5 linked regions of the Tribolium castaneum genome follow. The protein of the gene in region 4 interacts with the protein of the main gene of each other region in a pairwise test. Links are inferred from orthologs where the notes say so. Each region holds a gene or a part of one and is shown on either strand. Other genes may lie near its edges.

What was found.
Region 1: the proteins of Cam (region 4) and asp interact in a two-hybrid assay, tested with the Drosophila melanogaster proteins (2 studies listed by BioGRID). The link is inferred for Tribolium castaneum from reciprocal best matches to the Drosophila melanogaster genes Cam and asp.
Region 2: the proteins of Cam (region 4) and ck interact in binary tests that used the Drosophila melanogaster proteins (3 or more experiments, as listed by UniProt). The link is inferred for Tribolium castaneum from reciprocal best matches to the Drosophila melanogaster genes Cam and ck.
Region 3: the proteins of Cam (region 4) and potassium voltage-gated channel subfamily KQT member 4 interact in a two-hybrid assay, tested with the Drosophila melanogaster proteins (2 studies listed by BioGRID). The link is inferred for Tribolium castaneum from reciprocal best matches to the Drosophila melanogaster genes Cam and KCNQ.
Region 5: the proteins of Cam (region 4) and Plp interact in a two-hybrid assay, tested with the Drosophila melanogaster proteins (2 studies listed by BioGRID). The link is inferred for Tribolium castaneum from reciprocal best matches to the Drosophila melanogaster genes Cam and Plp.

The regions. Positions count from the first base shown.
Region 1 is NC_087402.1:360,073-366,117, reverse strand, and holds the start of asp (abnormal spindle-like microcephaly-associated protein homolog), read right to left. Parts: upstream 3,487-6,045; 5' UTR 3,355-3,486; coding exon 3,343-3,354; intron 3,288-3,342; coding exon 3,108-3,287; intron 3,062-3,107; coding exon 2,858-3,061; intron 2,693-2,857; coding exon 1-2,692. Other genes in the region: Tnpo-SR (transportin-3), read left to right, coding at 3,668-3,784, 3,839-4,194, 4,391-5,308, 5,358-5,890, 5,975-6,045. UniProt on the Drosophila melanogaster protein: Required to maintain the structure of the centrosomal microtubule organizing center (MTOC) during mitosis. May have a preferential role in regulating neurogenesis. Required for germ cell mitosis and oocyte differentiation.
Region 2 is NC_087398.1:4,865,971-4,871,992, reverse strand, and holds the start of ck (myosin-VIIa), read right to left. Parts: upstream 3,489-6,022; 5' UTR 3,014-3,488; intron 1-3,013. Other genes in the region: slmo (protein slowmo), read left to right, coding at 5,708-5,739, 5,789-5,954. UniProt on the Drosophila melanogaster protein: Myosins are actin-based motor molecules with ATPase activity. Unconventional myosins serve in intracellular movements: can function in cells as a single-molecule cargo transporter.
Region 3 is NC_087403.1:4,839,207-4,844,269, reverse strand, and holds the end of potassium voltage-gated channel subfamily KQT member 4, read right to left. Parts: intron 4,905-5,063; coding exon 4,845-4,904; intron 4,645-4,844; coding exon 4,484-4,644; intron 4,421-4,483; coding exon 4,334-4,420; intron 4,291-4,333; coding exon 4,220-4,290; intron 4,122-4,219; coding exon 3,994-4,121; intron 3,535-3,993; coding exon of another isoform or gene 3,407-3,534; intron 3,203-3,406; coding exon 3,106-3,202; intron 3,058-3,105; coding exon 2,726-3,057; intron 2,678-2,725; coding exon 2,520-2,677; exon of another isoform or gene 2,456-2,519; coding exon of another isoform or gene 2,418-2,455; exon of another isoform or gene 2,389-2,417; intron 2,059-2,388; coding exon 1,865-2,058; 3' UTR 1,244-1,864; downstream 1-1,243. Other genes in the region: Pef (peflin), read left to right, coding at 445-453, 512-857, 949-1,175.
Region 4 is NC_087397.1:1,842,508-1,848,581, forward strand, and holds Cam (calmodulin), read right to left. Parts: upstream 4,705-6,074; 5' UTR 4,548-4,704; coding exon 4,545-4,547; intron 4,294-4,544; coding exon 4,119-4,293; intron 2,757-4,118; coding exon 2,514-2,756; intron 1,835-2,513; coding exon 1,806-1,834; 3' UTR 1,134-1,805; downstream 1-1,133. Other genes in the region: uncharacterized protein LOC660922, read right to left, coding at 1-178. UniProt on the Drosophila melanogaster protein: Calmodulin mediates the control of a large number of enzymes, ion channels and other proteins by Ca(2+). Among the enzymes to be stimulated by the calmodulin-Ca(2+) complex are a number of protein kinases and phosphatases.
Region 5 is NC_087399.1:2,047,187-2,053,251, reverse strand, and holds the start of Plp (pericentrin), read right to left. Parts: upstream 3,810-6,065; 5' UTR 3,487-3,809; coding exon 3,463-3,486; intron 3,408-3,462; coding exon 2,496-3,407; intron 2,450-2,495; coding exon 2,322-2,449; intron 2,275-2,321; coding exon 1,818-2,274; intron 1,762-1,817; coding exon 1,645-1,761; intron 1-1,644. Other genes in the region: facilitated trehalose transporter Tret1, read left to right, coding at 4,656-4,692, 4,742-6,065.

The sequences.
Region 1 (6,045 bases), on a different chromosome or scaffold from region 4:
GTCTTTGGACGAAAATCGTAGCCTTTTTAAGCGCTTGGTACCGCCATTTCACCTGAACAAAAATCACAGCTCGTTTCAATCTATTAAACTGGTCCCTTGCTAGTTTCATGCGAACGTAACTTTGTACAAAAATCGTTGCATTCCGCAACATTAAAAACATCCTTCTGGCTTGTCTCCTTCTAAATTCTCTCTGAGCCACAATTGTGGCCCATCGTAAGTTCTTAAACCTTTCGTAAAGTAATTTCGTTCTAAAACGCCTCTGGATAACAATAGCTGCGTTTTTCATTTCCATGAAAAGTTTCCGTTCACATTTCGCTCTCCAACACCTTTGCACAAAAATCGCAGCTTGTTTCAACCGCTTGAAAGCTCTAAACTGTAACTTTGCCCTAACGCGACTTTGGACCCATTTAACTGTCTCCTTCAAAATTTGATAATTGTACAATTGTTGCCTCATTGCCAATTTCGCTCGCCACAGTCTTTGTACAAAAACAACACTTTTGTGTAATAATTTGGCCCGAAATCGTCTCTGAATCAAAATCGTAGCCTCACGTAAAACTTGGTATTGTGTTCTTTGGTTTCGCATAGCTAAAGTTGCCCGCCAACGTCTCTGAATGATTAAAACAGCTCTCTCCTGTTTTTCAGCTTTGAAAAACTTTAGCATATTTTGTAATTTTTCGTAGCGACGTTTGGCCAAAAACATACGAACGTAACGTTGGATTGTGATAGCTGCTGCATTTTTTGTTTCACGAATTAATTTCAATTCGTTTCGTTTTTTCACAATTGTGTCGCTTCGCCACCAGTTTGTTATCAATGTCACACTTTTAGCCATTAGGGGCGTTTGCAATTTGTGAATAATTTGCCACAAAAACGATAGAGTTTTCTCTTTGTGACCGTTGACTATGTCACTTGGTGTAATGTCGTAGAGAATTTCGAAACCCGAACGTTGCAAAGCCTCAAACACGATTTTCATGTTGTGGATTTTTTGCAATCGTGAGACTGTTGGAACACGCAGTTTTTCACTCAAATTATTTTGCAATAGAATAATTTCCATGACTCGTGTTAGTCTAACACCGTCACGTAAATCAACCCCGAGACACTTAACAGCGTAATCAAACTCATTCAAATAGCTCTGCTTATGTACCAAAGTGTATTGAAAGTGTTTCAAATATTTGGTAATATCGCCCATTGACGAAACCGTATCACGGGCAAAAGTCGTAAGAGCCGTTTGGCTCTCTTTAATTGGTGCGTTTTTACAAAACAAACACGGATCATGTGCTATCAATTTCTTGCTTTTGGCCCGGTCTAGGAAAAAAACCAACGCCAGGAATTTCTTCAAAATGAATTGTTTGATCTCCGATTTGTATTTCTCAGAATGGACGGAACGGTGTTTCTTTAATAAAACCGGGTCCCGCATAAAACGCTCCCAAAGGAAGCGAGTCAAGCCCCTAACATCCGAATTCGAATTTAGGGGAATCACCCGTCCGTAAATCGTCTCCAAACCAATGCGCAACCACAGAGGATTATAACTCAAAATCACTTGCATAACATCGGCCTGCAAACGCAAATCTAGATGTACATCACGGTCTTTCCGCAACGCAAGTTTGCCACAATCAATAATCGCGCCAACTTTAATCAAAACGTTTTGAATTTCGTTTGTTTGGTACAACGCCTTAGCGGCTCTCCTTAACGCGTTTAGTTTAGCATTGTTGTGAAACCGTTGCGAGACAATTTCCCTGGTCGGTGCCACTTCGATTTCTTTCTCCATACAACTTCGCCACAATTTGGCTACGTCTAAGGGATGACTTTGCGCATTTGAATCAAGATCCAAAGGTGGTGTTAAAACAGCATTGAGCCACTTTTTGAAATTCTCCTCTTGACCCTCTAACCACGTTACAACTTCCGGTTCGAAAACAACAATATTGCGTTGTTTGGCCCATTCTTGGGGGAATCCCAGATTTGGGCGTTTCGGTGATGTCACTTGAAACGTAACGTCGCTTTTACGCTTCAAGGGTGTGGCTTTCGGTTCGGTTTCTTCCCGAATTGTGACTAGATTTGTGTGATGGCATGACCACAAATCTGCCTCAATGGTCATTTTCACTCCGTTGCCGACAAGACTATCAAGGCGGCATTTTTTCGAAAAACTTGACGGTGAATTATCGGAAATGTCCGATTTGGTGTACGTTTCCGAGCTTAGGTTTTTAACATACGTTTCGCTACTCAGGTTTTTTACAATTTCGAAAGTTGTGTCGTTGAATAAAGTTTTAGGTTTGCATGTTAGAAGAAAATTATCAGTGTTATCGATCGATTTTTCGTCGGTTGAGCAACGTTCTGGATTGAAATCGATTTGATTCGATGGTGTTAATAAAAACGACGTTGATTGTAATCGACGTTCAAATGAAACGCTTGGTGATTTTACCACCGTTATGTTTTCTAAACTGTCGTCAAAAATCTCGGGGATGTTTTGATTTACGGTATAAGTATCTCGTCGTGTTTCAATTTTCGGAGATAAATTGAAATTTTCTTTACCGTTGAATTCACTTTCTGGAGGATTTACGGTAAATGTTGGCATGTTTGTAATGTTTGGGAGGATTGCTCGCTTTTGTGGCGATTTTCGCTTAAAGTTTTGGACCGGTGAAGTGTTTTTCTTGGCCACAAAGCGAGGGAAACGTTTCTGGGTCCCTTTCTTGCTTTTCTAAACCACAAAAAATATTGATAGTTTAGAAAATTAATTTCTTTAATGTGCTATACAAATAATAAAACATGGAGGTGTTATGACAATCAGCACTGCCATTCAACAAAAACAATCAAAGCCTACTCTAATCATAAAAACAAATGATCACACTGTATCTTTACTTACGGTCAAAGTGGCTGCTTTAAGAACGATGGGAACGTTTCGGCACGTCCCTACATCATCAGTAACACACAAATTGAACCTCCAAGCCCCTTCACAGGTGGGGGTCCAAACAAGTTCAAGTGTTTCCTCACTCTGGGCATCTATCCTACAGCCACCCCAACTCAAACTAAAATGAAGTTCTTCCGGAATTGTAATTCTCGCAATCAGCTGAAAAAATGGCTCAAATCCTGCCCTTAGAAACGAACAAACCTACTTCTTTTGCATGTCCTGTCGGATTTTTAATGACCAGATTTTGAGTGGCCGTTTGACCAATTTTAACATTTTCGAAACAAATTTTCGGATTTGGGGTGAAAGGGGCCAGTGATAAAACGGCATTATCTGGCTCGAGTTCCGGCTTTGGTTTTTTGGATTGTTGTCTAACAGGGGGCGAAAACTAAAGTTTGGTTAAGTAACTGACGTCCACTCAGAAATGATAAAACACAACTTACTTGCAAAAACATAGTCACAGGTTAAAATTATCAACATTAAAATAACACACAACAATGTTGGAGGCGATAAAACAGTTTCTTAAAAACTCTGTACTTGAGATGAGTTTTTTGATTCAAATGATAAACCGTCAACTTTCGCTCGACCAATAGAAATGGACGTGTTCTGTTGGTTGCCGGGATTGGAAGTTGGCAATCATGGTTATTTAGTAACATCCATTTTCTGGCTGTTGTTTTTGACGTTTGTGGACAGTTTACGAATGTATTTAATGTATTTTTACAATTTTGCTCATTTATGATGTGATATTGGGGCAATTTGCGTTTAGAAATGGATTCTAAGCCGAGTTTGAACTTGGTGTACGCGGCCGTGTCCGCTCTGTACAACAATCCGAACACAACCGAGAAAGAAAGAGCCTCGCAATGGCTCGGAGAGCTCCAAAAATCCGTAGGTTTTTCCGTAAATTTTTTATTTTGTCTAAATTGTAAGCTGTTTTTTTAGGTCCATGCGTGGACAATCGCCGACGAACTGCTCCACCACAAACGTGATCTGGAATCATGTTATTTTGGGGCACAAACAATGAGGACGAAGATTCATCACTCGTTTCACGAATTGCCAACAGAAGCTCATGAATCTTTGCGAAATTCGCTTTTGGAGCACATTAGTCAAATTAATGAGGACACTAATACTGTTATTGTGACTCAGTTGTGTCTAGCTTTGGCCGATTTGATTCTACAGATGCCCACATGGCAGCAGGCGGCTCTAGATTTGATTAATAGGTTTACAACCACTAATATGTGGCCCTTGCTGGAGATTTTGACCGTTCTGCCGGAAGAACTCGAAAGCCGGTCTGTTAGGTAAGTTTTATTTAAAAAAAGTTGGTTAACAACTCATTGGTATTCCATAATAAAATAATTATTATTTTCCTATGTTGTAAATTACATATTATGTCACTCATTATATGAAATAGTTTATTGACTTGATGTTTGGTCAAAAACCGAATTTTCTCAGCACTTTTTCGTGAATGGATTTTCCTCTATTTATTTAACTTAGGTTGGGCGAAAACCGTCGTATTGTGATGCTGGAGGACCTGAAATCGTGCGCTGGCACCGTCAACGACTTCCTCACTCATTGTTCCAACACTTACGGCAATAATTGGCAAGAAAACGTCCAAATCAACGTAAAAATTCTACGTTGTTTCACATCTTGGGTGTCAGTTGGAGCAATCACTCTAAATGATATTGCCAATAATGTGGTGATATCGCGTGCTTTCTCAATTCTAAACTATAAACCAGAAGGCGACAAACCTCAAAGTGTGGCCGGTTCGTTACACGATGCCGCCTCTGATTGCATTTGCACGTTATTACAATGCCTCGAAGACAACAACAATCAACAAATCCTCGAAACATATTTGTTCAATAACGTGATTAATTTGGAAATTGTTTATCACCTGTCGGTGGCAAACGAAGACCAAGAGAAGTCGATTAATTACTGTCGGATTTTTACCGAACTAGCCGAATCGTTTCTCGAGAAGATTATCAATAGTTGTAGCACGAAATCGTTTCATTATGCGATTAAAGTGCTTGATTTAGTTTTGATTTGTGTGGGACATCACGAATACGAAGTTGCCGAAATCACCTTTAATTTATGGTACGTCCTGAGTGAGGAATTGTATCAGAAGAATAGTAAAGAATTGACCGAATTGTTTCGACCGTACGTTGAAAGATTAATCACAGCGTTATGTAGACACTGTCAAATGGAACCGGATCATGAAGGCTTGCTCGAAGATGGTGACGATTTTAAAGACTTTCGATTAAAAGTCTCCGATTTGGTCAAAGACGTTGTTTTTATCGTTGGAAGTAGCAGTTGTTTTAGACAAATGTTTGTCAATTTGCAAGCACCAGGTGTTACGTGGGATTCCAGCGAAGCCGCCTTGTTCATCATGCAAGCGGTGGCCAAAAATGTCTTGCCGTAAGTATTTAAAACTTTTTGTTCGGATTTTGACTCGATTTTTTTGCAGGAGTGAAAACGAAGTCGTCCCGAAAGTAGTCGAAGCCATACTTTCCCTCCCCGAAACCACACATATCGCCGTAAAATACACCTCAGTCATGTTATTGGGGGAATTATGCGAATGGATCGAAAAACATCCAAATACACTTGATCCAATTTTGAATTTTTTGGTCTGTTGTTTGCCACAGGCCGGTGTTGGTGCAGCTGCTGCAATTTCCTTACAAAGTATCTGTGCAACTTGCAACGATCACATGCCACGACATGTCCCAGTTTTGTTACAATTGTTGCAACAAGTTGATACGTTTGCAATTACGAATAATGCAGTCATTGGATTAGTTAAAGGTGTTGCTGCAATTGTTGGTTGTATGCCACATTGTGATTTAACCGATGCGATGCGAAAATTGTGTTCAATGCAATTGAATCCGTTGTGTCAGCTTATAGAACAGGATGTGGTGCCAGTTAGGGGCACTAAAAGTGATCCGGTTTTGTGGTTGGATAGATTGTCGTCGGTTTTGCGGAATGTCAACGTTAGGCTTTATGAAGGTAAATTTTTAGAGCTAGGAATAATTTTTTTTCCATTTTTTTGTTATTCGGCGAAATAGAAATATTTTTGGTTGCAATTTTCAGGCCAGGTGCACCCTTGCAAGCCTGTGATTTTGGAGGTATGGCCTGTCCTTTCGCGCACGTTCGACAAGTAC
Region 2 (6,022 bases), on a different chromosome or scaffold from region 4:
TTTCATTGCATACAATGGCTCATCTCTCGCGAAAAAAAGGAAAATTCTCATTGTTCCATTCATTAAAAAATGCTTAGATATGGAAAACGTGTAATGTTTACGTAAGGTACAATCTGGAGTAGTGTGTTTCGGTTTCATTGTTAATTTTGGACAGCGTGAGAGATGAGCGGTTTAGACACCGTTTTCGATTAACATCGACATAATTAAATTAAGGTCACAAATGAACAATTGACGAAAGTCGAATCATAACGGTCATCCAGCACCACTCTGTATATAGTGCGTTCGCTGGCATATGGCTTCCGCGAAAATTCGCAATGCAGTTGGGAAATTTCGTCTGCAAAGTTGGCGATTTATACAGAGAGTGTCAAAAAGAAAGGTTCAAAATGGGTCGAAATTTACATTCGAAAGGATTGTAATTCACACAAATTGCAAAATTTTGACACTTTCTCCACTTTTATTCAAATCAAACAACAATTTCGTGCATGTTTTCCCCAGCGATGAGAGAATTTTCCTAAAATAAGAAATGCATCAAGTCGCGGTGACCTTTAAATGTCAAATTAACACAGCCAACTAATAAAGCGTATTGACGAGTGACGCTTAATTAACTGTGTCTATAAAAATTTATTTCTTGTCATGGTGACGGTCAAGGAATGGCAAAAATGCTGTTGAAGTGTTAAGTTTTTAAACCAATTTACCATTTTCTTATCAGAGGTGTCTCATTTCATCATTAAAACTTTACAGTTAATTTACAAGTTTACAACAATAACGTTACATTTATTACGATGTTTCGTCAGGTGGCGATATGGTTCCATTTTTTGTCAAGGAAATCACAGACTACAATATCCTACTTATAGAATAAGAGAGAAATCTCGTGTCTAGTAGATTATAAGAAAATTTATCAACTCCAATAATAATTTAAATTTGCAATGTAAAACGGACTTTCTATACACTTTATTTATATTTGTTTGTATCAATGGAGCTTGTGTCTCGTGGCTGTTGATAAGCGCAAATTGTGACATTCTAGAAGTATTGTGAAAGTCGGGAACTTTAAAAATCTTCTGCAATTAATTTATAGGCACGGTAGGTATAGTCTCAGTTAGCTATGAGCTGATTAACTTAATTAGATTGTCACCGGCAAATAACAGAAATATCTTCTGCTACATTCCGTTTCAATTTAATAAACGACACGAGAATGATTTTAAATACAAAAATTCGTTCACATTATCAATTATCCAAGTTCTGTTTTTCGTAACTGTCAGAAATTATCATAATAAGATCAGCCCACCCGTGGAAAAGTGACAGCTGCCTACTATGACCTGTTTCTTTTTTAAAAATGCGCTGGTGCTTTGGATGGGATAGGTATGTCAAAAGAAATTCCACAGCCTTCTTTTGTTTTTTTAACATTTAATTAAAAGTCAATAATTAACTGACACAATAAAATGAAGAAATCAATAGGAAAATAGGTATTAAAATAAATCTTTTTTTTGTTTCTTGTATTATATTTTTTGGTGTTTTCTGTGCACTTTTACAATTTCTTATAAGGGTATATTTTTTCTAATTCCAATAAATGCCTAGCCTTTAATCAGTAATGCCGTTACATATTTTTGAAGAAGTTAAGTACTGTAATAATAATTATACAAATTATTTCCCAAAATTAGATAATATTAATTCATTCATTTATTACTAATCTATCATTATATTATAATTATCTATACTGCCAAAAACGCCAGAAATTGATAAAAAATTTTTTGAAGAAATTGTATCCGTTGTCCACGGTCATTAGGACTCATAACTTTTTTTATTTTTTTTTATTTCGGTGTTTTTTGTTGTTGTGTATTCTTTCGTTTTAGGATTCGAAGCCTTTTTGGATCATTTTGACGGAGCTGTCACTTGGATACGGCATTCAAAATTTAAATTAAGCGGCACATTACGCTCAAATTTCATAGGTGACTTGATGAACAACCATTTTTGAATATAATAACTACTATAACTAACACCCAAAAAAACTATTTCTATCCACATTGTAAAACGATATTTTAACATTGTTTTGTGCAAAAAATACATAAAAAAATATCGCTAGATCCAGATTTATTTACTCAAATTCAATTCGCGATTACTTTGACCCTTGTCAAGTAATCTACATTTTTTATTATTTGTTATTATAGTCCCAGTACAGGGAAAAAATGAAATAGTCCTTTTTTAACACACGGTTTAAGATGCAAGGCCACACCTTCGCCATTTCTTTTGATGGTGAGTGTACACCGTAATGAGTTTTCTCATTTCTTGTTTATTTTGTCTTAAAGTAGTACCAATGTGTTTTTATTTTTTATTTTGTTTTGTACTTTTATTGTTTGGGTTAAATTTAATCCATCCTTTCTTATTATTTAATCTAAACTGGAAAAACACGTAAGGAAGCACTAAAAAATGAAGTACCACGAAGAATGGTACTAATAAAAGCCATTGTTGTGCCAATGATTGTCACGGTGTTAATACAAACAATTTCGATGGTAATTATCTCCGCGAAGCGATTAATGTCCTATTGGCGTTTATTTAGCAGAAATTTGACTGGAATGGCAACAGTGGGTTCAGGTAAATTACCTGTGGCTCACGCTAGGTAAAGTAGGCGTATCGAACCCCGGCAAATTCCTTGCCCAAATTACCCGGATCTGCCCCGTCCACGTGACCGCTTACAAAACAGCTTACTGTACATACAGTAATTGTTTGCATTAAACAATGATAAACCATATAGATAACAGTATTTACAAGACACGGCGTCCAAGAAGAGAATAGCGGAATGTGTGTGGACTTAAGGCAAAGTACCGGTAAATCCGAAGAATGTCTAACATCTCATCATAAAAAACTTGTTATCTGAGCCGACACCTGTTCCCAATCCCTAAGCCATCGGATTTCCATCGCGAACTCGCTTTCCTCGACTTCTTTCCGGAGGATGGTAGAGCGTGAAGATGCCTCTGGCCGTAAAGAAGCGCGACGTGGAAAGAAGTTGGGACTTTACCTGGGTTTTACAATGTAATCCTTAACATAATGTTGGGTAATTTGAAGAGGACACACAACGCGACACTAACACCTCATCAGGTCCCGGTACTAACGTTCCGCCGCACTCAACTATCACCAAATGGTCAAGTTTCTGTTACTTTAATTGCTTGCGCCCAGGTGAGGCAGCGCCATCGACGGACAGGTGTGGAAGTTGAGGAGGAGGCAGGTGACTGTAGAGGGCACCACGGGCAATGTCACGGGTTCGACTACCTCAATGACGATGTGAGTCATCCTCCACTCAAAATTTTGAGTCAATTTGAAGTTTGAGTAATGGTTGGGGGGCTCTATGCTTTGTTTAATTATCGCCCAGTCGGAGAAACTCCAACCGGGCCTCAAAAAATTGTCATAGACTCATTTGTATTGTCCCACTCCACGGAAATCTTTAGTAAAAGGCGAAAGATTTATTCGCTTTGAAGTGAGACCAGAGTGGGGAAAAATTTGGCTGATGGGATACTTATGTCAGGGAGGCGGTTAGGAAGTCGGGACTTCTAATAGGTCGCACCCTCTAACGATGTGCGCTCAAACTATTAGATAACGGCGAACAGATAAGTGTTCGAAAAAAGTTAAGGATTTTATTGATTGAAGATGAATGTATTAAAACTTTTTTCGGTCAGTTTAACATTAATTCTAATGAATGTAGTAACAATGTTTAAATCCACAACTAATATTATGCCCAGTTTTGAACTATAATGAACTATTTTATTAGAATTGTGCCTGTTTTTCAACGCTTTGTCTTTTTTACGTCTTTTCTCTTTGTTCACTAAATTTCCATTTTTAAAAAATGTTTCTTTACTTTGTGATCTTTGATAAAAATTATCGCCCACTCAGAGAAAGTTCAACCGGACCTCAAAAATTGTTAAACCCAAAAAGTTGCATTGTAAAATGCGAATAAAAGATTTATTCGACGATAATTTAGCAAAAAGTTGGACTCTAATTACGACTCAGTCTCAAATTATTGAGAATTTCGTAAAATTCCAACGGATAACTGTAAAGTGATAAAGATTATATCTAATGTTGCAATTTTCGTTTTTATTTATGCGATTTTTACTTGTATGGCAACGTTAATTCATTAGGTAACAGTTAATCAAACTGAAGAGTTAAAAAATTGAATAAATAAATAAATTTACCCTACTTTACCTATTTGTTGTCTAATTTCAAACAATTACAATATACATACGGCATATCTCTTCATTGTTGTAATGTTTTATGGCATGTTTCAATAAATAATTTCAATAAATTTCGTTTTTATGTTTTGTCCTTACATCATCTACTTTTTTTTAGCAAAGTTACTGCAACAGGATTTTTTTTCACTGACTTATACAGGGTGTCTCAAAATTTATTCTTATTTAAATGCAGGCTAAAAGTTTCAGTGTTTATTGTTATTTATGGTGCAGATGATAGTGAAGAATAATAATGAATAATTTCTCAAAAATTAGCTTTATTTTGGGGTAAAAAAAATCTAAAATTTTTGTAATTTAATGTCGTTTTATTTTTAAGAAAAATTACAAAAAATAGTATTTTTTTATTTTAAAATAAAGCTAATTTTTCGAGAAATTATTGTACACTCTAATTTTCCACCATGCATAACAATAAACACTGAACTTTTTAGCTAAGCGTTTGAAGAAAACGCAATTCAAATTGTGGGGAAGCCCCGAGATGATCAAATTTAATCTTTAAAAATTAACTGAATGGAAATTTTAAATGATAATAGAAAAAAAAATGGGTCAAAGACAAGAGGAACCTGAAAACTATTTTCAGTACATTTTTTTAATCGTATAAAATTTTTTTTTTCAATTTCAAAATTAAAATATGGAATATTCGAAAAAAAAACTAAAAAACGTCTGAATTTACTTATAACGTAATTTTTCAACTAGTTGTTACGAGTTTTTTTTTTCAACAGTTAATCTCCGATCTTCAAATCAGAAAGTTTATGTTTAGGTCGGAAGGGAAAAAAATGTTTCTAGATTTTTGCAAAAGCGCTACATAGTTCAGAATTTCATAATTCAGACAACTATCGAATTTGGAATTTTTGGATTCACTTTTGAAATTTACTCGCAAAAACCTGAATCGGTTTGGAAATCTTTACTTTACTAAATGAGCAGTTTGATACAATTTTAATGGCCCACATCATCATGGAAAAAGTGTGAATCGTGTTCCCAAGGTCGTTTGCCATAAATAAATAACCCAATTAAACAAACTCTAGACTTCCGGAAAGTGCGATCAACAATTTTTTGTGCACGAATTCGTTAATTCTGAGGACTAGTAGCCAAAAACATACGAAATTGGCCAAAAAACCTAGCGCAAACCTTATCATATCACTCCTTATCTAACCCAAATTCGGAACCTCGACTTTGTTTTGAGCGTAATTTACAACAGTTGGTTCGATCATCCCAAAATAAACAATTCATAGTGCACCGAACTTCGCCCCCTTCCACAAACATTAAAATTCCTCCACCTTCACCTAAAATTTTTTTGGCTTTCTTCCAACTCAAACTTTGCCGCCGTCCCCCACCAGACCTCATCCTAGAAACATTTAACACCGCGAGTTTGGCAACGCGGAATATTCCCGTCACAGCTGTCAAGTAGTTCAGAGGCGGTTGTGTCCTGTGATCTCGTTTAGTGTTAAATTAAAATAAAGTCTCTCTAAACTACGATGAAAATCTGGACGAGTGAGCACACTTTCAAGTGAGTATCGCAAATTCGTGAGGAATTAAACTAATTTCGGCGAATTCAGTCACCCCTGGGAGACGGTGGCCACTGCCGCCTGGAGGAAGTACCCCAACCCCCACAACCCGGCAGTGATCGGCACCGACGTGGTGGAGCGCCAGGTCGTCGACGGGGTCCTCCACACCCACCGCTTAGTCAGCTCGATTTGGTACTTCCCCAAATGGGCACAGGCCGTAAGTTACATAAAATGCCCAAATGCCTGAAAAACTGCCAATTTCGAAACACGTGCGGCGTGACGCTA
Region 3 (5,063 bases), on a different chromosome or scaffold from region 4:
AAAATTTTTATTTTTTATATTTTGTTAATTACTTCCAGCAAAACTATTGTATGTAAAATAATCTGGAAAATTAATTAGTTTCAAGAAAATACGAAAATTCGTAATACCTAGTTTTCAAGTTATAAATATCTATATATTTTACCAATTTTTACTTCTGTTAGCAATATTCTCAAAAACTCCTAGTTGCAAGGCAATGGTCTTTTTTTAATAGACAATTAAAGGAGCTTTCTGACGCTAAGCTTAATAACTCCGGAGTCAAAAATCAAACGTAGCGCTATTCTGTGGTAATAGGATATTTCCGCTCCAGATGGCTCTAGAAGCGTTGTTACTGACTGTTACCATAGAATAAGAGGTTAACAGTTGACAGTTCTTGGTGATTATTTGTTTATATAAATGTGCGTTAATTTCTAATATTTTTTTGTAATTGTACATGCCACAAGCATAATGTACGGTGTAAGTACCTATTAGAGAACTGTAATAAATTGTATTATGCATGTTACTCGTTAAATAGAATCCCGGGAGTGGATACCAAGGATATCCTGGTGGGGCTGCCCCTGGGTACGGTCAAGGAGCTGCAACTCCGGATGTTCAGCAGTGGTTTAATACAGTAGATAAGGATCGTTCTGGTCAAATAAATTGGCAAGAACTACAAAGTGCTCTTATCAATGGCCAGGGGAAGAATTTTTCAGACGTCGCTTGCAAGCTTATGATTGGGATGTTTGATAGGGATAAGACAGGGACAATTGATATTAACGAATTCCAACAACTCTTCGCATACATTAATCAATGGTTGGCTGTATTTAAAAATTATGATAGGGACCAGTCAGGACACATTGAGGAGCCAGAACTTGCCCAAGGTAATCTTCAACTCATCTACATTTATTCCCGGAAATATTTAAAGAATGTCGGTGTTAATAGAATTATTGCTGGATCTTATTTTATTTTTAGCGTTGCAACAGATGGGATTTAAATTTTCCCCCGATTTCGTAAAATTTTTAATTGCTAAAAGCGACCTTCAAAACCACAAACAAATGTCAGTAGACCAATTTATCGTACTTTGCGTGCAAATCCAGCGGTTCACTGAAGCTTTCCGATCAAGGGACAGTGAAATGAAGGGGGTTATTACAATTGGATTTGAAGATTTTCTCAGTGTCGCGATAAACTGTTCCACATGATTTACTATTTAATTCGTTTAATTCCATTACTAGGGTTAATTTTGTAGGAACAATAAAACTAATAAAACTTAGTCTCTAAAATGTTTTATTAAAAATCCCGTACAGTATAGATGTTCCACATCATTTTTAAGCAAACAAATACTTATTGTAACAACAGTAGGCAATGGGTCGGGTCAAAAAATATTACTGTCGTATCTATAAATTAATCACATTATTTTACGTACATTTTTAAATAGCTAAATTTTATAGTATAGTCTACTGATTAAAAGTGAATTTCAGCAGCACATTTTTAAAGTCGTTGATTGTTTGTTAGGCGTTTTTTTCTACTTGATATTATAAAAACGTTAGGATTATAGTGTGGTCGTTGTAAGTACAAGTTGCCGTTAAAATTCACTTGTGAAACGTAACTGAATTAATCTACAAGCATTGGCCAATGTCCCTGTAAAGTTTCAGTATAAAACGTCGAAACAAATCACAGCTAAAACATGCTACAGCAAATTTTAATCCTAAGTGAAGAAGTACAAACTTTTCAAATATATTTTTATATTAATAAGCGTCATTATTGTGCCCTAAGTTCAGTACATGTTAAAAATATTCGCAAGTTTTAGGTCCAAAAATCTATAATCATTTACATTATTTTGAATATTTAACGGTCATAATATATAAACTAATAACAAATTTAAATTATGTCATACATCGTCTTTTAAAAATTTGTTTTTTGATTGTTGATTAGTTTTATTATCATAAAATTCTTCTCTGGTGGTTTCTAAAGTCGTTGGCGTGATGAGTATTTCTGTTGATTTCGAACGGCATAGTAACGGCTTCTCCGCTGCGTCGTCTTCATCTTCTTCACAATTTCGATTTCTCGTTAACTTTTTCACCCCTGTAGAGAAAAACCGGTGTTAATCACTTGGCAATTTGTGCAGTTGCGCTACAGGATTTGCCATTACAGACGAATATACTCTACAACGGTTACTATAGGGCCAAGAACAGATTTCAACATCGAGAATAAATATTAAATATCATGTCGAAATCTTCGTCGACGGCTGCTGTTAGTTAGTGTTTATTTCAGTGGTTTACAGAGGGGCTAAGTAGGTGGTTTATTATTAAAACTGTATTAGATCGGATCGCGGTTTGAGATTTACTACATGCACATTCCACATTATATGAAAGGTAAACGTAGAATATCCAACGATATTTGCGTTAAACTCACAGAAACAACTTATTAGTCCGCAATCATCACTACAAGGAGGTAGATGATGAATAACCATCATAAGAAGCTGAAAAATATTAGTAAACAATAGAGGGGCATTCTAAACCAGATTTGCATGAAACAACATTTACCAGAGCTTTCTGTGGCTGTCTTTGGGCTCCCTAAGTCCGGCTCCTGTGCCGAAGCACCAACTGTCGATGGCGTGTTGTTGATGGGGGGAACCACAATCACGACTTCGCCGTCGTAGGACATGCCATCCGGTGGGCACACATAATTCGACGAAATTGAACTGCAAATGGGCGATATAGGGGCGCTTTTGTGCAAAAATAGCCAAAACCTTAATGTCACTCTTTTTTTAATCCGATTGCCGAGGTCGGAAAATCCGCGATGCATTGGTCGTTTTGTTACTGCGGCCGTTGAATGTTCTTTAAAACTTTTTGTGATTGGCGAACTTGGTTCGGATGATTGTTTCTCTACAAGTATTGGTTTAGGTTTAAGGATTGTACTCGACGGATTTGTCATGTTTGAAGAACATAGATTGACGGTTGTACTAGAGGAAGTGGTGTTTTTTTCGGCGCTTGGCTGGATGTAAGGAAGAGAGAGGAAGCGTTTACGGTCTTCCATGTAAAGCTCTAAAAGCTGGTCAATCTTAGACTCTATGTCATCTACCTACAAAATCGGAAAAATAGCAAGGGACAGAACTGGGTGGTTCCTTACTTGTCTTTCAACTTTGACTACGCGCGATGCTAAACTGATTTTGGAAGCATAAACATCTTTCGCCTTGGAGCCTTGTTTCCCTAGGATTTGATCTAATCTGTAATAGGGCACGTGTTAAACGTTTAGTATGTGGTGGCTCGTGCTTGCGGACAATATATACATGCTCAAGCTTTAGTTTGGGACCTTTTGTGAATCAGCAAAGTGCAAAATAAACACTCATGCATGTGAGAGCTGGTCTCATAATTCCATTTTCGAAAACATTTCCAAAATAAATAGAACCTATTTGGTTCAGGCATCTTACCTGAACTGTAAGTTTTTCACTCTATTCAAAAGATCTGCATGCCCAGACGAATATTGTTCTATAACGTCTTTAACGTCATATGGCTTCAAGGCCTCTCTAAACTTCTTTCGTGCCACAAAATACTTGAGCTACACACACAAAGCGAGGAACATACATGATTTTTAGATACATACTCGTATATATTTAATTATATGTAAATATAGACTAGTTTTTCCTCTGCCTAAATACGCCTTACACATATGAGAAATGTACGTGTCAAACACTAAAGGACCCACAGTCAGCATGCGAATAACTTGTCAGTGGTTAGTGATTAGTGACGGCCACACACACAATCAGTTTTTAAAATCAGATCGTCAGTCGAAGACGACAAATAAGGCAGACACTTAGAAAGGTTGATTGGATGATGTGATATACAGAGTGGCGAGTAAAACGATACACTCGGCAAAACAATACCCCAAAACTGGTCTTGTGACTTGTTGTTTCGTTTTAGTAAATCCACTCGTCTCGCTTGTATATCAAAACTCATTGAATTTATGTAATTCCAAGGAAAACTACACAATCAACCTCCGAAATACACCAGAGTGTACCTAGCTTGAACGTTTTTCACTCTGCCAAGTAAATCAACATGGCCGGCCGAATACTGTTCTATCACATCTTTGACATCGTATGGTTTCAAAGCTTCTTTAAACTTTCGCCTTGCTACAAAATACTTCATCTAAATAATAATGAAACATCGAATCAATATTGCTGGTTCGCTATGGAAATGAGTGATAAAACGATCATATAAGAGTGCAATAGGTAAAAGCTGCCTACCTTACGGATGGCCCGGATTGCCCCTTTGTGCTGATTCGTTAACTGTATATATCTCGGCTCGTCGTCCTCATCTAAAAAAAAGTTATTACCTGAAAACCAATCAGAAATATTTACCGTCGGAATTTTTTTTCGAAAGCATCGTCTCTGCAACCGAATCCTCGCTATGGCTCAAATTCCGCGATCCGTTGTTGCTGACTCCGCCTGGTAACATCAACTGTTTTGTATTTTACGGTCAAATATGCAAAAGCTACTGTCATAATCTACCTAAATTTTCTGCTGATGCGTTTAAATCCACGAAACTCCTACCACTTCTTGGTGGTCCTTTATGCATCGACGGGGAATGAAGTGAAGTGCTTTTGTGGCGACGAATTGTCGGTAATCGACTTACAAAAGATGCATTGTGCTTAAAACTGCTCGAAACTCGTCTAAAATAACCAACGAAATAATTAAAATTACGGAGAGTGAAGTGTGAGACGAGAGCGAAGAGAACTTACCCGAAACATTTAAAAAATTGCTCGCTAACTCATCGTAACACTAACGATGAATTAACGGGCAAAAAACAGAAATAATGGACAGGTCATGCAGAAACATGCTTTAATTAAGTACGTATGTACAGCACACTTACACAACGGAAGAAATAGACGTAATCTTCTCTGTCACCTTATCAATGTCTTGTAACTTAATTCTGGTAAACGTGCAAGTTGAAAACAGAGTGAGAAAAAGGAACAAGTAGACAGTATAGATAAAGCGTATAGTAGGTAGGAATACTTAATTCTAACTCTAGTTAATTCTCATTATTCTAGCAATTGTGGGTACACAAAGTAATTTATTTTCATTATTGTGT
Region 4 (6,074 bases):
AACTACATCTCGACGGGTTGAAGAACAGATGTGTCCGATAGTGGTGCTCCTCCATGGGGGTGTACCCCTGCTCCCGACTGGCCCTCTTGCTCGCATGTCTGTTGGCACAAGCTTTCGAAGTTTTGCTCGCGACGCCGCTTTTTTGCTCCCGGAAGTTTTTCCGGAACATCAGATTCATGGTGACGGTGGTTCTTACAACAGTCTGAAATGTAGCGACATGTGCAGGGCAGGCGCAATGTTTTACAAACGAAATGAAATCATCAATCGATATTACCTTGGCAAATTGATTCGGGCAATTCGTAAATAAGGCCTCATTAAGGTAAAGAACGTAATTGCCGACACCTGACACTATTTTTAGAGATGTAGCATCCACGGTCACGGCGTCGCGACGCTAACGACGCTACTTCTGAAGACTTGAATCCGGCGAAACAACTCGGACGAATCCATCTATTTATAAAAGGTGCGCGGAATTATTACTCACACGCGGTAGGTCAGTGGTGGCGCACCTGATGACCTACTGCTAATCACTAAGGGGTGAGGAGGGGTGGCAATAGATTTGCCGAGGGGAGAATTTTTCATCAAGCGAAACAAGAGTTAATTAAAACTTGGCCGGTCCGTGTCTACATATCGGGCAGTAAAATATGAAAAAACGCCTCATTATAGTCATTATTCATTTTCAACGTTTATCATGGGCCAACATTCAAGGACGCTGGATTAAATTATTCTTTTATGCATATTTTTATTCTTTAAGGATGTTTTTCTTTTGGCTTACCGGCAGATAGCGTAACTACAGTCCTTTAAAGCAATTTTTGTCATATTGTTACAATATGATCGGCTAAACGGGTAAAATATTTACGTTTTTGCAAATTGTTTATTATAATTTTTTCTTTTTTTTACCACTCACTATTTTGCTAATATTGTATTTTTATCTCGCTCATTTTCAGTGCTAATTAAATGTGATAGTGCCGGTCAAGGCAGTTCGTTGCTTTTTTATGGTGTTTGTTGGGCAAGAACAGAAAATCGCTTTAAATTGTTTATTTTTAAAATAAGGAAAAAGTATTAACATAAAAAATCGTAATAGTAATGTAGCCGTAATAATCTAATAACGGGATGATAAACAATCACTAGATAAATAATTTTTAGTCACATTTATTTCAAATTTAAACATCTAATAATTTCACATTGTAACCGATGATAGTCCTTATCTATAAATAAAATAAATAAAACAGTTCAATAAAAAATGACAAGGCTGACGAAAAAAGTGTCTATTTGGTTATACACTGGAAAATCCTACCTATTGAAAATGTAAAACCTACAGTACAGTAGATCTGGGGATGATGACAACTGAACAAATGACTCATTTATAATAAAAACAAAGGGGATACATACTATAGTTAAGTGCACAGATGTATGTTTTTTTGGATCACAAAGTATGAAACATGAAACTCTGAGTGTATTCTAAGTCTGTGTATCCCCTAAACTAACACCGAAAGAACGACTTATAAGTACAATTTCATACTTTGTGAATAACGAGAACGACTCAACTAGACATGTAGCACAGAAGTTGAAACAGTATAGAGGATGCTTGGTGTTGCACCTTCCAAACAAATATATTACAAAAATTTACACAATTATATTAATTTATAAATATTTATTATTAATTAAAGTTGTCTTGTAAATCAAATAACGATTAAGTTTTTCACTTTAGTGGCCCGGCAGCCAAGCAAAAAGTTCAAGATGTTGAAATTGTAGATAATGGGCCGGGATGAAACAATGGAAAGCTGAAATGCAAACTGCTCTACTCTTCATTTTGAAGTCATCATAGTAACGAACTCTGTAATCAAAAAGGAAAAGAAAAACCAAGATTAATTAAAAAGATCCTCAGTAATAAAAAATAAACCTAACACAACATAATCCCAACGTAATAAAGAATCGTGTTGGGTGCACTACATCGATATAAGTGAAACGTTATTACTGGTACGAATAATTTTCATTCGTATTAGCCAAGAAACTTCTGAAATCGTAATGCGCACATTACTTTTTTATTGTTTTAATTAGTTTTTGTTAATTGTATCTACGACAATAATGAAGATGCAGTCAAAGTTTTTTGGAAATGTGCTTCACTGTTGGTAATCAAAAACAACTCTAACCATAAAAAGCGAATAGACACATCGTCAAAGAGTGCTCAAGACAGTGATAGGTAGAACAGTAACAAAATAACATGCCACTAAGCACATTCCCAAAGCAAGACTACAACTGACCAGCTCGAAGCATGTGTGGCTGAGTACCGACTGAAAACTATGAGAGCTAGAGCTCGGAAATCTGCAAAGGAACACTACCAGTCATACCTTCCTGGCCTAGAACACATATCGAAATAAAACCAAAAAAAAAAGAGCTACATTCACATAAAACCCAAACGAAAATCAAAGACCCGTGATCGTCCCAAGCCTACTACACTATACCCGACAAAAATGATAAATGTACAACACACAAAACACCCGAAAAAACATTACCTTCGTAATTGACCTGACCGTCGCCGTCTATATCAGCTTCTCGGATCATTTCATCGACTTCTTCATCGGTTAACTTCTCACCGAGGTTTGTCATCACGTGACGCAATTCGGCTGCCGAAATGAAACCGTTGCCGTCTTTGTCGAATACTCGGAATGCCTCGCGAATTTCTTCTTCACTATCGGTGTCCTTCATTTTACGGGCCATCATCGTTAGGAACTCAGGAAAATCGATTGTACCATTACCTAAACACCCAAAAAACTGTGTCACCCAGAAAAATCCCACATCGAATTGTTATTTTTGGAATCGCATTACGGAAAATAATCTAATTTACTTATCCTTCGATAGTTTAGGATAATTAAAAAGGTACTAAAACTGCAAAGAACACGGCCCGAAATTGCGCTGCCACAGCAATAAATACGAAAATAACATCCTCCGAAAAACACACCAGAATTCTCCAAATAGTTGCGACCTTTGCGTCTCCAGGGAGCGCAGTAATAATCAATTTATAAAAATTTATAGCCCTTCGTATAGTGGCGGCGCCACTACGCATCCGTGTCAACATTCACGCCTTCATTGTTATAAATTAAGAAAACAGGAATTTCCGTCACTATTTGATAAACAAAACCGCAACATGAAAAAATTGGTTTTCTCCCGTTCAAACTCGACTCAGTCAAACGTTATCTTTTTTAAAACAATATCCACGTCTGAAATATTCAATACTTGTGCATTTTCATTTTCCTTCACACAGTTAGTCCGCTCTATTAAAATTCATAGCGTAATCTTAGCCTTTATGGACCATCATCGTTGGCTTAGGAGTGCGAACTGTCATTGAATAACAAATGAATGCTGTTTCGCAAATTATCTTGGGTGCCACGGGGTAATTTCATGGCTAATGCGATTCGACCGACGCTGATCTACATACAGATGGGCGATTTTTCTAGTGTCTAGCAGCGGCCTATAACCAACACTGGGTCAAATTATTAAAGTGATGTTTTATTCGATATTTTTAAGAACCGATTTCTTTACTTTTCGTCGAAATTATCTACGTTTTTTTTAATGATAAATTGTTCTAATCAATGCATAGGTGTTTTTCCGAAAGGTGAAATTACTCATGCTGTGGACATAAGTTACTCATCTTACTCAAAGTTTAGTCATTAACGTACTTTTTGAATTCGTTACCAACTTTATGATGAAAAAACTTTTGATTGGGGTTTGCTATTTAATTAATAACCGTCACAGCCAAATATCGATGACGTATTTGCGATAAGATAAGTTTGTTTCTATGAAGAATTTTTAATTGGGATTATCGAGAGTTGCGATTTTATCACCGATTGTATAGTCTATTTGAGAACAATGCAGTCCATTATCGGTTTATCAACGTTGGTAAAAAATAACCGATCAAACTGTTACACTTTGAATAGTATGTAGCGATAAAGTTTTATCTGGCAATAATTACATCATTCCGTTTTTCTTAATAAAACAAACGTTGAAGGCAAATAATCAAACTGGCAACAGATGGTCCTAACGGTCACACGGTTAAGTTGGCAATAGAAAAAAGCCCTGTCAAAACAGTCGTTTGTTTATCGAAGTCGAGTTGATCTTACCATCGGCATCTACTTCATTGATCATATCCTGGAGTTCTGCCTCCGTGGGATTTTGTCCTAGTGATCTCATAACAGTTCCTAATTCTTTGGTAGTGATCGTGCCATCGCCGTCCTTGTCGAACAGCGAAAAAGCCTCTTTGAACTCGGCGATCTGCTCCTCGGTGAGTTGGTCAGCCTACAAGCCATCAGAAAGTAAACACCCCAAGCAACAGATCGATACAAGTCCCCAGCGTCGAAATTTAGCAATACCGTCGAAAATAGCCGTCGAAATTGAATTTGTCCGCATTGCGGTAAACCAATTTACCGGTTTACGGCAACTGACAGCTATTTGCGAAAGCATCACAAACCAGAAATATCCGCGCGAAGCGCGACCATCCGCAGCCCCGCGCCCCAAAGCCGCCCTTCGGCCGCCTCCGGCCCACTTACCATGGCTGTATTTCCGGTAAAAAGGGCACTCTAAACAATTCTTTGCCACGAAAACAACTGTCACTTGCGACTTTTCGCGTCAAAGTGCACCAGCCAACTGTCTGCGTCTGTGTCTTTTCTCGTTTTGTTTAGGATGGGAGGGTGGAGGGGCTGCGAAAGCACTACCGCCAAAGCGCAATAGTGCGGCTACGACACCAACGAGTAAATATTCCTACGCCCAGCCCGCCCCCACCGAGGCCCCCCGCGGGCCCCCAGCGCCACAAAAACCCCCCCAAACCTCGCGAGAACCCGCCACAAGCCCCCACAAAGACGCTTTTTCAAAATTGAGCCCCCCAAAGCCGCAAAGCCCCGGATCTAGTTTTGCGCGCGGAGAGTCCGCCACGTTTGAATGTCGGGCGCGGCTTGTTTACAACGTACTTTCGTACGGAGCTGCGTTCCCATTGGTCGATATGTACCTGCAATGCGTCAAGCAAGCCGTGCACGCGGTGGTTCAAGTAACGGCGTGATGCGTCGGATTCGGGGCGACGCTGCTCGGGTGCGGCAGTGGCGCACCGACGAAAAACAAAGGAAACGCCCCCTGATTGGGGCCGGGAAGCAGTTCGGCGAAGGGCTTTGGGGCATGAGGTGTGTGAGGGTCCGAAAACGATCGCCTTTTTTTTCGCAAATTGACAGCCATAGCACGCTGCGCAACTTGGCGTCTAATTCAATTAATGCATTCGGGAAGGTGCATATACAGGGTGGTGTGGAAACAAGGCGTTGGATCAATAAGTATTTATTGCGTCTTGAGATACTTGAACCACGATAAATAGCAAGGGTTTTGAAAATTTGAATGCAGAAGGCGTGATGGGAATAATAAAACAAATTAATAACTAGAAGTTTTTTATTCAGTTAAAATTTCTACATAATTGATCCACAATTTGAAATTTTTCGTGACCTTGATATTGGTTCAGTAAATTTCACCCGTGCGTAACAGTCGCGTGACATAATTTCTGACTGGAACTGTACCATGAGTCACTTTATGCAAAATAAATATTGCCAACTTTTTTAGATGTGTTTAGTAAAACAATGACACATAGATTAACTGAAATTTTTTCCGCATTTTCTTTTTTTTTAATAAAAATTGTTAGAAAAAAATTGAGTCGTTGCTAAAAAGATTTACATTATCGTCAGTTTAATACTCCAAACTGGCAATATTGGTCGGTGACGTCACATGCCCATAACAATTTGAAGGGAGTTCTAAAAGATCGTAATGCAAATGCTTGAAAAACAGTTTTATTGTCGGAAGTCTGTTATTAAAAATTTCATCAAGGTTAATATTAAAGTTCAGGATAATGCAATTTCGTGTTTTATGAGATGTTTACTCTTGTCGGTAGTTTTACCATAAGGAAAATATTTGTGCAGGAATCTGTAGAGCACTTCGGGATCTTTAAATTGATAAGATTATCAGTAACCTTGCGACCAAAAATATCTGTTTCAGCGTCACGATTGCGTGTGAAGGGATTTAAAAACGGAAAGTGAAAAGAAATCATA
Region 5 (6,065 bases), on a different chromosome or scaffold from region 4:
AACTTTATGAACAATTTTTGAAACCAAAACAACATTTTTTCGATTAATTTTGCTAACACTGGCTGGAAAATCACGAAATTTGATCCAAATTGATGTTATTTTAACTTATGTCGCATTTCAACTCCATTTTGTAAGATCCTGCCAAAGCTTTATTTGATTAGTTTCACTCGTTTTTTGATTTTTGAGCGAAATTTCTTCAAAAATAAGCCGAAAAACTATAAAGTTTGGTCGTAAAAGATGTTATTTTTATATTTTTCAAGCAAGTAAACAAGTGTTTGAGATCATATATTCTCAGTTTCTTGGGAGAAACAGTGAAAAAATATAAAAAAATAAAATTTTCTTTTTTCTTTTTCGAGTTTCTGATACGGTGTATTGAGGGATTATATCTTAAAACTTTGCACAAAAATAAGTCGAAACTTCACAAAGTTAGACTGAAAATTTAGTGAATTCGCTTTTTTTTCGAATTTTTAAACTTTTTTTGAGATAAAAACTAAGTTTCTTCAGAAAAATTTCGCTAAAAGTCGGTGAAAATTAGATTATTTCAAGCAGATTTCATTCAGAGATTCATTCATTGTAAAAAAACTTTTTACAACAACAAATTTTAATGAAAAACAATGTTATTTCTACATTTCTGGGCTTCCTTTCTTTCTTAGCTCGTTTTTGAGCAAAATTTCTTCAAAAATAAACCGAAAAACCTATAACTTGTCGAAAAATGTGTTATTTTTTATATTTTTTCGAGCAAGTAAACACGGGTTTAAAGTTATATTCCCAGTTTCTTGTGTGAATTCTGCGTCATTCGGATTTCTAAATACATTTTTGGAATAAAAACCAATTTTTTTTTAGAAAAATTCCCTGAAAGTAAATGAAAATTAAATTATTTCAACCATTTATCGCACAAGAACATTTACAACAATAAATTTTCATCAAAGAAAATGTTATTTCTGCCTTTCTTGAACATTTAAGTACGTTCTAGAGCCAAAACCCCGTTTTTTCTCCTTGATTTCGCCGAAATGAACCGAAAAATCACCAATTTAAATCCAAAATTATCTTATTTTTGGCTTTTCCAGGCACGTTATCCAGTCAAAAACGCACTTTTTTCCAGAAAAGTTCATTAAAAACAGGCCGAAAAGTCATGTTATTTTAGCCTTTGAGAAACTAACAATTTTTTTCGAAAAATTTACGTAAAATTGCATGAGTAATTACAGAATTAGTTCGAAATAAATGTTATCTTATCTTCTTTAGGTTGAGACTGATTTATTTTGCAAGAACTTTTGAAAACACAGCTAAAAATCACAAAATAAATTGAAATTGTTGTTAATTTATCCCGATTTAGCTGTTTTTTGAGCAAAATTCCGTCAAAATAAGCCGCAAAACCACATTTCGTCAATAATCAAGCTCTGTTTTAAAATTTTAAGTGTAAAGATGTCAAATATTTTGTTAAAATCGGCTTGGTCTCGTAGAATTTTTTGTAAGGAATTTAACTCTACAATTTTTTTCTAACATTTTTGTTGTATTTTTAACCATTATTTAACCATAATTTTTAGTCGTCAGTTTTTTTCAGTCTTTTGACTAATTTAAAACGATTTGGAGCGATTTTGTACTTGGTTTCGAGTCCGTACTCCCAACACACAACCCTCGACCTACCTGTATCTGCAATTCTAACGCAGCAATGATGTCAATTTTAGCTAGAGTGACTTGTTCTTGCAACCGTCTCTCATAGCTTTGCACCACTTCATCAATCTCAAACTCGCCCGAATTCGCCTAACAGTCATGCAGTTAGTACACAAAAACACAATTAGAACCAACACAAAACTTACAACTTCCTGTTGACTAGTCGTAACAATCCGACCCCTCAACTGCCGATTAAGATCGTCAATTTCCTCGTTCAAACTCTTCAATTTCTTCTCATGCTCAACGTTTAACTCATCGACACGATTATCGTAATCCTCCCTCAAAATCTCCAATTCAGCGTGATACTTATTCTGCAGCTCACTCTTCATGAGACTTAAATCGAACTTGAGCAAATTCCGAAACTCAAATTTGCCAATTTCGGACGTGAGACGCTCAAAATCGGAATCGGACAAATCCTCCAAATTGAAACCATCGAAAATTTTAATCAACTGAACCAAACTCTGGCGCAATTTAACCAAATCCTTCCTTGTGTAGTCAACTCTAGTGTCGCCCCCTGGCCCCACAAAGTCCGAACTGAGCTCGGAACACGAACTCGATTCGGACATTTTGCGGCTCTGCTGACTGAACACCTCCTCCGAGTAACTAAAATTGCAAAATTACGACAAATTTTTTTACAAAATCAAACAAACTTTTTCTCCAAATCGGCGCATTTCTTCTCAAAGTAGGTCCGCAACTCCTCCATTTCCTTCGAATGTTTGGCGTCCAACTCGCTCTTAATCTCGCTCTCACACTGGGCTTTATCCGAACTAAACTTGGTCTAAAAACACACATTAAAAAATTATCACTTTGTGACTTGACCAAACCTTCAGATTGCTAATCTCGTTCTCGAGCGCCCTTTTGCTCATCTCCACGTAACTAGCGAACGCCGCCTTCAACTCGCCGAAAGGCGCCAACTGTGGGGGCCCCAAACTGTGCTCAAACTGCGCGCAAATCTCGTCAAAGTCAAACGATTTTTTGTGGTCCTTGAGCAAGTTTGAGGTTTTTTCCAGCTGTTCTTGCAACTGCGCGATTTCGCTCCTAAAGTGTTGTTTCATTTCTTCGCGATTTAAAATCGCCTGTTGTAACGAACTGGTCAATTTTTCGATTTGTTCGTCTCTATGTACAATAGCGTCGCGGTACTCGACTAACTTATTATGGCATTCCTCTTGGAACTGTTTGTACTCGGTGGTGGTGGTCCCCAGACTCGACGTGTTGCTCAACAATTCGCGAAATGAGTCGAGTTCGGAAGTTAGGGCGGCAATAGTGGTGTTTTTGACTGCGATCAAATCCTCAAAGTCTTTGACTCGTTTGCAAACCTCGTCGTTTAGGTCGAAATTGACGCTTTTGCCGGCGTTGTAACTGTTTAGGAGTTTGTCGTCGAGGTCCACGTTGGCGAAAATGTTCAAGCTTTCGTCGGAATCGGACTTGAACTGGTCGTTACTTAGGATTTCCTCGAGGATGCTTTGAGCGTGTGTCCGCCCCTCCATGTTTGTACTAATGAAGCGCTCTAGCCCGTTTAGACTAACGAAACTACTCGTGTAACTATCACTAAGGGATGGCGGTTTGGGCTCCAGTGAGATCCTCTCATCTGGGGGGAAATTGACGAGCAGCTCTGGCAACGAACGGTCGTTTTCGACGCTTGATAGGTGCTCGGAGATCGTGCTTGTCTCGGACAAAGGCGGGGTTAGGGACAGAGTCAAGCTGCTACTACCGGAGTCTCCAAGGGGGGCACCCTCCTGGCCGAAGTCTATATTTAGCCCACATTGCACGTTCTATTAATAAGACACTTACCCGATTGGTCGAATCGCCCTCCATTATGCCACAAAGGTTTATTTTAACCCATTAAACAATAAATAAAATTGCAACAAACGTCAAGTGTGACATTTTCGAGTTTGTTTGTTGTTGTTATAGGCGACTTGATTGATTGGTTTGGCGACAAATTGGGAAAATGGGACGTTAGAATTTTTATTTAATTTAATTGGGACGAAATGGCACCTAATTGTACAAAATGACACGAAGTACGGCACTCAAAAAGCAAACAATTTGAAAATTTTACGGTTAGGAATTGGGCGATTGAGCCGACATCTGGCACTATGAACATTACAGTCGACCAACTGTACCCACGATTTTTTCTACAGCCAAGGTCACACCAGGAAAATTAATAAAATAATCGTAAATCATTATAAAAACATCAATAAGCTGTAACATCTCCTGACCATTCTAATGTGTTCCTATTACAAATTAAAATTTAACTGCGTTTTATTTCTGCATTTTTTATTCTCATATTCAAGCAATGCAAACTGATTTTTTTCACCCCCTCTATATCCTGCAATTTTCTTTATTTTTGCAGGAGATTAAGCCCTTCGACTGTAAAAAAATCATGTTCGGACAAAAATTCTTTAAAATTTCCCGATTTCGTAAACTTTATCTTTAAAAATTCATTAAGGTCCCAAGGGGTGTTTGTCCGAACATGATTTTTTTACAGTCGAAGGCCCTATCAAAGGGCTTATTCTCCTGGAAAAATAAAGAAAATTGCGGGATAAAAGGGGGTGAAAAAAATCAGTTTGCATTGCTTGAATATGTGAATAAAAAATGCAGAAATTAATTGAATGGTCAGGAGATGTTCTACAAATGTGATATACAAGTCATCGTAACAGCTTATTGATGTTTTTATGATTTACGATTATTTTGCTAATTTTCTTGGTGTGAACTTGGCTGTATGGTGGGTCGACTATAATGTTCATGGTGCTATCTTCACCGGTAGGTCAAGTGACCTGTCATTTTCACGCACCAAATTCAAACCGGACAACTTGCGCAATAACCAAACAAATATTTGAGCTGCAAATATGCGTCTTTTATGAATAAAAATTACTATTGTAATACCTTGATCCGTCTAGACCATTGTAAATCATTGATTTGCTTGTAAAGATAACACGATTTAATAAATGTCCCCATTTAATTTTCGCGTCATTATTTAACCGAAAATGTCCAGTTTTTACTTGTACTATACCGCGTGCGTGGGTAAGTCCCCCAATAGTCACATAATCGAACGTAACCAATTTTTTACCAGCGAATTTGATTGCGTTCACTGTGGGGCTTGCCTACGGGTTGGCGTCCCCCCTCCTCCCGAGACTCAACGGAAGTGTGGACCCCGATAACAACCCACTGGACCCACCCCCAACCCCTTCCGAGGAGTCTCTAATCGCGTCTTTACTATCACTTGGAGCTATTTTCGGCCCACTTTTAACCGGTCTCTTTGTTGATAAAATCGGGCGGAAAAAAACGCTCCTAATCGTGGCTTTGCCCATAATTGCGTCATTCCTGACCATGGCTTTCGCCCATTCGGTGGTACTTTACTACATCGCGCGTTTGGTCATGGGTGTGGGGGCGGGGAGCGTCTTCACAGTCATGCCCATGTACCTGGGGGAGATCTCCGAGGACCGCAACCGCGGCACTTTGGGGTGTCTCATGTCGACGTTTATCGCCTCTGGGGTGCTTTTCGACTACGCCGTGGGGCCGTTTTTGACCGTTCAGTGCTACTGTTTGGTGTGTTTGGCGCCTCTGGGGGCGTTTTTGGCGCTGTTTGGGGGGTGGGCCCCCGAATCGCCCCAATTCCTGGCCTTGAGGGGCGATGAGGGGCGCTTGAGGGCGTGTTTGGCCAAGTTGCGGGGGTCGCGGGACGTTGATAAGGAAATTGTCGGTGTTAGGGAGAGTCTTAAGGGGGCTCAGGGCGGTTTGAGGGAGTTGTTTCAGTCAAGGGCTAGTCGCAAAGGGTTGGTTATAACCGTCGGTTTGATGGTTTTGCAGCAAATGGCTGGGATCAACGCTGTGAATTCGTACTTGCAGACGATTTTCGATGCAACAGGAAGCGGGCTTTCACCGGAAATCTCCTCGATTATTATAGGAACGGTTCAGGTCTTCACCACGGTGTTAACATCGTCGCTTGTGGATAGATCGGGGCGGAGGATTCTTCTTTTATTTTCAATGGTCGGGTCAGGTGTTTCTCTTGTTTCGCTTGGGTCGTATTTCTACCTCAAAAGCAACAGTTTCCAAGTCGATACACTCTCCTGGCTTCCAGTAATGAGTTTAGTTGTTTTTATTATCTCGTTTAATATCGGCTTGGGGCCGATTCCGTGGGCCGTCATGGCGGAGATGTTTCCGCCAAATGTTAAATCAATTGCTTCGACTTTCTCCAGTATTGTGTGTTTTATTGCGGCTTTTACCATCACTTTGATTTTTCCGTCGTTGGCTGAGGTGCTGGGCATGGGGCAGGCCTTCTGGTTTTTTGCTACGTTTTGCGCCCTGGGGGCGGTTTTTGTCTATTGCGTCCTGCCGGAGACCAAGGGGAAGAGCATGCAGGAGATACAAGCGCTTCTGGATCGAAGTTTTGTCAA